2 linked regions of the Oryzias latipes genome follow. The protein of the gene in region 2 interacts with the protein of the main gene of each other region in a pairwise test. Links are inferred from orthologs where the notes say so. Each region holds a gene or a part of one and is shown on either strand. Other genes may lie near its edges. The genes, in order: pinx1 and aida.

Region 1 (4,413 bases), about 8.0 Mb from region 2:
TTTGATATGTTCTGTAGAACCTTGCTCACTCCTTCCCAGTCCCTGGAAGTACAAAGAATCAGCTCATATTTATTAATAATCACCTGACTGTAATGGTTATGATGTAACTGCAAAATAACTGCAATCAGCGATGTTTGTAAGTTCCGCCAAATTTTGAAACATCATACTTCTCTCTTTCAAGTTCTGTCAGATTACTGTTTCTGTATTTGTATCAAGCTGAGTGGACATTTTAACTCTGTCTGTTTACGTTATTACACTATCAAAAGGAACAATAGGCACAACAAGCACAAATAATTATTGTAAACTAATGCACTCAAAAGGTCCAACATGAGTTTAAAGTCTCACTCCGATCATTTTTTTCATCTATTTTAAAAGCGTTCCATATTGGCTTTTTTAAAATCATGTTTTTTGGGACATAGTTTCTGCAGACCATAAGAAAATTGCCTCCAAGTTGTGGTTGGGACCATTGGCGCGGTGTAAATCCGCCACTAACTCCCAACATTCATCTGTTAACACGCTTTTTAAACAACGACCCTGAAGTTGGCTTCCGATTCACAGCTTCCGATTCGCGAAGGCACTAAAAGAACATTCCGCTGCATTTTTTGCATTAAGATCACCTTAGACCAGGTCCTGTTCAAAAACCGCTGGACCTGGACTGCTCAAACCTGGATTAAATTATAATTAAGATAGTAAAGAACACATTAAACACAGTTTCTGATTTGTGAAACCTTCTTCTGATTTGTGAAAATGTGAAATAGGTTGATTTTTTATCGCATCTTACGCACTGAGTCCACCTTAGACCAGGTCCTGTTCAAAAACCGCTGGACCTGAACTGCTCAAACCTGGATTAAATTATGCATTAGATAGTAAAGAACACATTAAACCCAGTTTCTGATTTGTGAAACCTTCCTCTGATTTGTAAAATAAGTTGATTTTTATCGCTTTTTCTCAGACAAGGTCCTGTTCATGAAATTTGGGTGGAAATGTATTTTTTTATTCCTTAACACTTTTATTTTTTATACTGCATTGTACTATTGTATTTCTCCACACAGGTACGAGCCGGTGGCCCTAACATATCACCTGGGTGACCAAAATCACTTTGTTGCAATACACAGACTTCTGCCCAGACAAAAGCTTGGACCTTTTACGATGCACTACAGGAATCCAAGAACGCTAGACAAGGCGACATCAAAATCTCAACATTCAAAAGAAACTGGGAAACAGATGTCAGATTGGACAAATAGTTATAGTCATGGTTAGCATGAACCCCTGACTTAAGTTTTGTTTTTTTGTTCAATATTTCTTGGTTTGTTTTCTGATTTACTTTAGAGTTCCTGTTACGGTGTTTTCCTTAAAGTTGTCCTTCCCTTGTCCCCATTATCCTTAAATTGCATAAAATTTGATGAAATGATACTATTTCCCACAGCGGTTTTTGAACAGGACCTGGTCTGAAGTGGACTCCGTGCGTAAAATGCGATAAAAAATCAACCTATTTCACATTTTCACAAATCAGAAACTGTGTTTAATGTGTTCTTTACTATCTAATGCATAATTTAATCCAGGTTTGAGCAGTCCAGGTCCTGCGGTTTTTGAACAGGACCTGGTCTGAAGTGGACTTAGTGCGTAAAATGTGATAAAAATCAACCTATTTAACATTTTCACAAATCAGAAACTGTGTTTAATGTGTTCTTTACTATCTTATTTATAATTTGATCCAGGTTTGAGCAGTCCAGGTCCAGGACCTGGTCTGAAGTGGACTCAGTGCGTAAAATGGTATAAAAATCAACCTATTTCACATTTTCACAAATCAGAGGAAGGTTTCACAAATCAGAAACTGGGTTTAATGTGTTCTTTACTATCGAATGCATAATTTAACCCAGGTTTGAGCAGTCCAGGTCCAGCGGTTTTTGAACAGGACCCGGTTTTACGGTGGTCTTAGTGTTTAGGGCCCTCGCGAATCGGAAGCTGTGAATCGGAAGCTAACTTCAGGGTCGTTTTTAAACAGCATTTTTCCCTTCTGCTTGTGATTCAACACGATTTGAATAAAGAAATACTCAGAAATGTCATTTTAAGCTTAATTTTCCTTAAATGTTTCACCCATCTTAAGAAAAAAGCAACGAGAAAGAAGTTCTGAAAAACAAACAAAAACTATATCTGGATTGCATTCACTTTTAAAGATATCAGCATAAGTTTAGACCGCTTACCTTGCCCTTGGACCAACCCATTCGCTCCAGCATCTTCTGGCCAAATTTAGAGTCATCTTTACTCCAAGTGCTGTTCCTGGGGTCAACCGACCACTTTTGTTTCCTTCGGGCTAAATTCACAAAAGCAGCAGCATTGTTACTCAACAGTCTGTCATTAAATAATGACAACTAGACTAGTATATAGAGCTCAAAACGCAGAGTGAATATAAAACAGTGCTGAAGATAAACATATGTAATGTGCTTTAACATTTTTTATACAAACATCATGACAAAAAATACATCTTGATTTTAATCCAAGGACAAGCAAGTGAGAATGTAGCACACACAAACGTGTAAACTACTATCCAGATCTTACAGAGAGTTCTACAAAAAAAATAATAAAATAAAAAATAGGCCACGATTATTTTTCAAAAAATAAACAGTCAAAAAGCTGATTTACAGCGTTTGCAAATCCTTCAGTGTTCGACATATTTTTCAGATACCCCTACTCTTCCTGCTACTGTAGTCAAGCTCTGTGCTTATAAGAGGCAGCCGGGCAAGTTGAAAAACAAATACAGCGATGACTGCAGTTTGACACATGTTGTAAAGTAAGAAACACGTGTTTAAAGAAACCGATGGGGGAAAATGCTAAAGCTAATGCTAACCTTGTTAACACTTTGTTAATGGCAACTCAAAAAACCGTTTATAATTTATACCGTTAGGCATGGTGCTTTGGCTAATATCACAATGAAGAAAAAAAATAAACAAAGAAAAGGAATATATACACACATGTAAGAGAAAAGTACTTACGTTCAGCTAGCATAGACATCTTGGGTCCTCAGTCTTGTGGACGCTCGAGCATTTAGGTACCTTCCAAAATGCCTGAATAAAATAAATCACTGTTGTCATTTTAAACCTTAAGTATCTGTAAATTAAATAAAATGACATTTTTGTTTACAATTTATATATAAAACAATATTCTTTGACTTTTTTATATTTAAACAAAGACTTTATCACCGAACTTTGCCTTTTACAGCCCAAATGTTTTACCAATAGAGGGCGCCACAGCACCTCAGAGTCCGGTTGGGATCTGCAGTGTTACTTGAGTTCAGCTCAAAAGTCTCAACTTCAGCAAACATGTGAACTTCTCCCACTTGGAATGCCATTCTAGGAACTTTTTCAGGTAATAAAAACACGTGAATAAGATGAATAACTGCTATCCAAACCTAAAATACGTTGTATTCTGTAAGGTCACAAAGAAAAGTGACAAATTTAGGTTGTGGAAGAGTGATTTAGGAACTAAATGACATTTTTAAACTCGGATTTTCAGTCCAAAAAACAAACAAACAGTCTCATACCCTAAAGAAAAACAAAAGATTTAAAACAATTATTTTCAAGGCATAACCAAGACATGTTTTGTGTGGTATGTTTATAAAATGTTAGTAAATTCTGTGGGTATAGGAAAAATACACTCATACTACAAAACATTTGCTCGTAGGTCACAGTCAACATTGCATTGGCCAGAGAATAAATGTACTTTTGCGTGAGGATCAGCACCATAACATGTTATTTTAGCCTTATCTATTACAACTGATCATAACAACTTATAATAGCAAACTTTATATTATCTCATAAATGGATAAAACAGTCTGCAAGACAAGAAATAAAAATTTAAACAAAGTAGGATTGCAATAAATGTCAGACAGGCATTCACTGTATAAACTTTGTGCATTCAAAGAAATTGTAGTTTACTTAAAAAACAATACTAATTGTTTGTGATTGGCTGCGGTTTGTAAGGAGGCAGATTCATGTTAGCTGTTAAAAAAAGAAAAAAAGAACATATTAAAAAAAATGTTGCAGCTAAACACACAAGGGAAATGAAAAAGCATAAAACAGAAATGAGCTCAAATTTGTTCCTCAGCATGTTTCTGTAGTAAACATATGGGGTTATTCTAATATTTCTGTTAAGTTTACAATGTGTACTTTGGTTTAAAGCTGTTTTCCTTTTTTTTAATTCACAATGTCTATTTTCCACATTTACAATCTGGTTTTTCATTCACTGTAACCTGATTCTGATTTGACCCAGCGTAAATGGAGAAAAAGTACCAGTAGGTTTTTTTCAACACTAGAAGCAGAGACCACAGCATAACTCAGCATTTTCCAAGCTTGAAATACAAATGCTTCAATTCAAAAAAAAATATTTGAAATGTTTTCTTTTAGTAGAAATAAA
Region 2 (4,545 bases):
AATTAGCAAAAGGCAACAACAAAAACCAAAAATTTGAAACAGAAATACAAATGACTTAAAGTACCAAAAACATTTTACAGATGCAAACGGACAACAAAACTGACACAAATACATCCAAAAGTGACATCCAAGTGGACTTTCTTTATGTCTGCCCTTACACACACAAACACAAAGACAATAAAAGTGACACAAACCTGCAGACTCGCACTTCTCATCTCCAGGCATGTTGCAATCTTCCCTAAAGTTTTCTGGACAGAAAAAAGAAACGTTGTTTTTAGCTGCAGAAAAGGATAGGAGCGCTGCATAAATTTGCAGTAAATCAATAAGATCACCTTCTGCTCTTCTGTGAAATCTGTGGAACTTGTTGTGTGGATCTCTTTTTGCATTTGCCTCGCTAGACTAAATAAAACCACAAATAAACACAGAACATCGTTAGTTCTTACAAAACACAATAAATCAGACATTGTGAAGAATAGTTAGAAACTGCCTTTAACTTTTATTACACTAATGGTTTAAACTTAATTCACTGAGCATGTATTGTCATCTCAAAATTGTATTACATTTGAAGACAGCACAGCCAAGCTATTGTTCTAACAGTTTCTTCTCATACTCCCTTTTTCTGTGCATGTGTGATCTCCTGAGCAGGCCTCAGACTTATCTTCACTTTAGCCTTGGAACTGCTCTCCAGCAGTAACCTGTGGGCGTGTTTTTCACACGGGGTCCATCGGACGATCTTCTGAATATGCAAATGCATTTATACCAACCCCATCCCTGAGCTCGTTGGTTCGGACTTTGAATGCACCATGTTCATCTGTCTGTCCCCTTCGTGTTTGTACGAAGTAAAACCTCCACAAAAGATAAGTAACTGTCGACAAATCCAGTTTCTTCACATTTGCTCCTTCTGAGCCGGCCGGCACGCCCTGGACATCGCTGGAACCCCTGGGGGGGGTTGCCCGAAAACCGCTAGCCACATCCTCAGCATTGAAACATCCGCCTTCAGGATCGGCGGCCCTTGCCCTTGGATCCGGTGGTGCCCTCGGCGACTTCGGACCCTCATCAAATGGCGAGGTTCATTGCTTGAAGTGAGTACGCCACACAGAAAGTCTGTCCTCTCTTTACTTATTAGGGCTTTATGTTGACTGTGTCTGTGTCCTTGTGTGTGCGTGCATCAACGTTGGGGGAAGAATAGAGAAACGGCTGCAGTCCGCTGCGCGAGCACGCTGAACAGAGCACCGCTTGCAGGCAAGGTGCTGCGCGTGCACGAGTCATCCTGCGCGGACGGGAAAAGTGTGGGCGGCGCGCGAGGCTGCTAGTGTAGGCGCCTTCCCTCCTCGGTGGGAATGGCAGTGTAGGGATGGAAGTGTAGGCATAAGTGTAGGAGCAGCCGCGGCGAGTGAGCCGAAGAAATAGAGCCTTGGGAGGCTGAGTGTGACTTTTGAGACGAAACGGAGCTCCGGGGAAACTATGTGTGTGTAACGCTTTTTATATCTCTCTGTCTGTGTCTGAGTTTGCCCTTTTTCGACGGCCCCTGTGGTGTGTGCTCGCTTTGAGTAATGACTCCTTATAAAACAAAGATAAGTAACTGTCTCTGAGTCATTATTCATTATTTCTGTGTGCAAGAAACTGACGGGGTTACGAATTAATACAATACAGTCCTTTCTAGAAAATCCAGTTTCTTCACAGACATGTTAAGTTCTTATCGTTTACTTAAAAAAACTGAAAATAAAATGCTTTTATGAAGGACATGTTAAAATGTTTCCATCACAACTGAAATTATTTTTAAAAGTCCCCTTCCGATCATCTTTTGATCTTTTGTCAAAGTGTTCCCAGTGCTCTTTTAGTTATGATTATGCAACAAAAATGGCGAGCTGTCCAGTCTAGTTGTCTACAAATGGATGCATAAGAATGGAACAGGGAGCTTGTTTTCTACGTCACAAATACAATCTTTTACAAACAGATTTTTTTTCTTCTGCTCTTGAATAAGGAAAAAAGAAATTAGAGAGGAAAATGTTAACTTTATGTTCTTAATGTTTGTCCTTCATCGTGAGAAAAATGCCACAAAAGCATGTTAAAAATTCATCTGAGTGGGAACTTTCAATTTAAATGTCAGTTTTAACCCAGATATTATTTCTTTTTTGGGGGGAAATGCATGTGGTCACCCATTTTATGCAGAAATATTGCAGAAAATGTCCCTAACGGCGTTCCATACATTTGAAGTTTGTACATATTAAATTGCAGTCTGTGTATTCACGCCCTCTTGTGGCCAACAAAAGCACTACCAGGTAAACCCGATATTAATATAATAAAGACAATTACAGCAGATAATCATAATAATTAAGTAATAAAGCAGATCACTTCATGAAAAATGTGATTTTTGAAAAGTTAAAAAATGGCGTTTCTCTCTGAACACAAAGAACCCGCCCAGAACAACGAGAGGGTGTGGCTGACTGTTTCTCAATTCTCCGCGGAGCAGCTGCTGGCTCCTTTAGAGCAGAAAACACACACACACGCACACAAACACAACACAACACCCAAGACGAAACTGAAACCGGGATGCAGCAACCGCACGGAGCTCTGCTGCCACATCCCGTCATCATGGAGGGCAGGGATGTATTTACTGCTGACAGCTGCCGGGGCAACTTCTGTCTCCCACGGTCCTTATCCCCGCAGCTTTTACCACAGGCGGAGCAAACACGCATGTTGTAGACTTACATTTGGTATTCATCTATCGCCTCCACCAACTGCCCCCACGAGTCAAAGTCTGAGCCTTTCCTAAAACTGGCGTGCCATTTCTGGATAGTCTTGTTTACATCAGACATTTTGTCGGGAGGATTCGTGCGGCGCTCTCAGGACAGCATATCCGAGGAGGAGGCTCATCTGCGGGGCTCCAGCGTCGGCCAGTTTGCCTGCTCGTCCGGTCCAGAGTTTGGCGCACAAACCGGTGACACCCCGACCAAGCCCTTTCAGCCTGGCCGACCCTGATGTGACATCCGCGGGCGAAAGGAAGTCCCGCCCGAAAGCCTTGGGTTTGCTCGATTTGAAGCGCGGGGTCGCCCGGAAGATCTGAAGCCTCGTGTTACTATTACATTATTATTATTATTATTATTATTATTATTATTATTATTATTATTATTATTATTATTATTATTATTATTAATAATAATAATAATAATAATAATAATAATAATAATAATAATAATAATAATAATTGTTAAAATGAGAAAATTCACACACAAAACAAACAAAACAAAAATATTCATCCTGTTTATAACACAAAAAAAACAAGTAAACAAACATAGGTTCCAGTCTTTAACGTAACTTACATAACAATCACATGCACCTTGTAGTTGTTTCCTTTTAATACATCGGGAATATTTTGAACTCTCACGTGTTTTACAATCAAACTCATTATTTTTTAGAGTGGTGCTTGATATTACTTTATTGAGTTATTAAAAAACAATTTAACTAAAGTATAGACATATTTTCAAACAAGCTGTTTTAAACTTAATAAATAGTATAAATGTTAGCAATAAGTTCAGCCATTAATTGTTCTTTAGAATATATTTAAACCATTTTAACCACTTTACAACAATTAAAGTAAAAAAAAGCCTCTTCAGAGTGTAATGTAATCATCGTTCAATTTAATATATATGTATTTTATTTTTATTATTATAAAAAATATAATTATAGTCTCTTTGGTAAGAAAGCACCGTTGGGTGCCTTATTTTGAAACATCACATGAACACTTCCGGTGATTTCCGGTCTAGTAAAATTATCCCAGAGCTAGCATGGGAGCGTTATGTGACTGAGCAAAGTAACTGTTGCGGCGGCGTTATATCGTTTCTATACCTTTAAAAAATGAGATAATATGGAGAGTACAACCACGGAATCTTGTTCGGCAGAAGAGGAGGACAGCTCGGACTCGGAGGTGGCGTGTCTCATGAGAGTGGGGAAAAAATCCGAGTGGCTTCGCTTGTTCGGAAACACAGAGGTGCTAATGTTCGCTAACTAGCTAAATTAGCTAAATAATCGCATACTTTTCTGTGTTTCTGGTCCATTTCCCCCCCTGTGTTTTCAGCAGTTTGAACTGTGGTTAAATTGGTTTCGACTGCAGGTCACCGTTGGACGCGGGGTGAACGTGACGTACCAGCTCCTGTCAGCGAGTTGTCCTCTGATGATCTCCAGGCTGCACTGCACCTTCAAGAGAAAAGAAGACGGACAGTGGACGGTGACGGACAAGAAGGTGAAATGACGTTCACCATAGATATGTCAGACTTAGGATAATTATTTATGAAATGATTGGAAAATTAAAACGTAAAAGAAGACATAAGCACATAAAGATATACATGCACTTTCTAGGAGGTCATTTAATTACTTAATTGGATAGACATGCACAGTAATACATACAATACAAGACATGGAGTCCATTAAATATTAATTTTGTCAAATGAAGTTTAATTAATATTTTCAAAAGGGGGTGGGAGGAAGCGATTTTATGTTATCGTACCCCTTATTATATTTGTGTGCTTCATTGTTTGCTTTAAA

What was found.
Region 1: the proteins of aida (region 2) and pinx1 interact in binary tests that used the Homo sapiens proteins (3 or more experiments, as listed by UniProt). The link is inferred for Oryzias latipes from reciprocal best matches to the Homo sapiens genes AIDA and PINX1.

Annotation. Positions count from the first base shown.
Region 1 is NC_019882.2:13,955,435-13,959,847, forward strand, and holds the start of pinx1 (PIN2/TERF1-interacting telomerase inhibitor 1), read right to left. Parts: upstream 3,066-4,413; 5' UTR 3,013-3,065; coding exon 2,994-3,012; intron 2,315-2,993; coding exon 2,205-2,314; intron 43-2,204; coding exon 1-42. UniProt on the Homo sapiens protein: Microtubule-binding protein essential for faithful chromosome segregation. Mediates TRF1 and TERT accumulation in nucleolus and enhances TRF1 binding to telomeres. Inhibits telomerase activity. May inhibit cell proliferation and act as tumor suppressor.
Region 2 is NC_019882.2:5,932,673-5,937,217, reverse strand, and holds the start of aida (axin interactor, dorsalization-associated protein), read right to left. Parts: upstream 3,016-4,545; 5' UTR 2,820-3,015; coding exon 2,713-2,819; intron 1,083-2,712; exon of another isoform or gene 804-1,082; intron 400-803; coding exon 333-399; intron 249-332; coding exon 195-248; intron 1-194. Other genes in the region: E3 ubiquitin-protein ligase RNF8, read left to right, coding at 3,869-3,991, 4,115-4,243. UniProt on the Homo sapiens protein: Acts as a ventralizing factor during embryogenesis. Inhibits axin-mediated JNK activation by binding axin and disrupting axin homodimerization. This in turn antagonizes a Wnt/beta-catenin-independent dorsalization pathway activated by AXIN/JNK-signaling.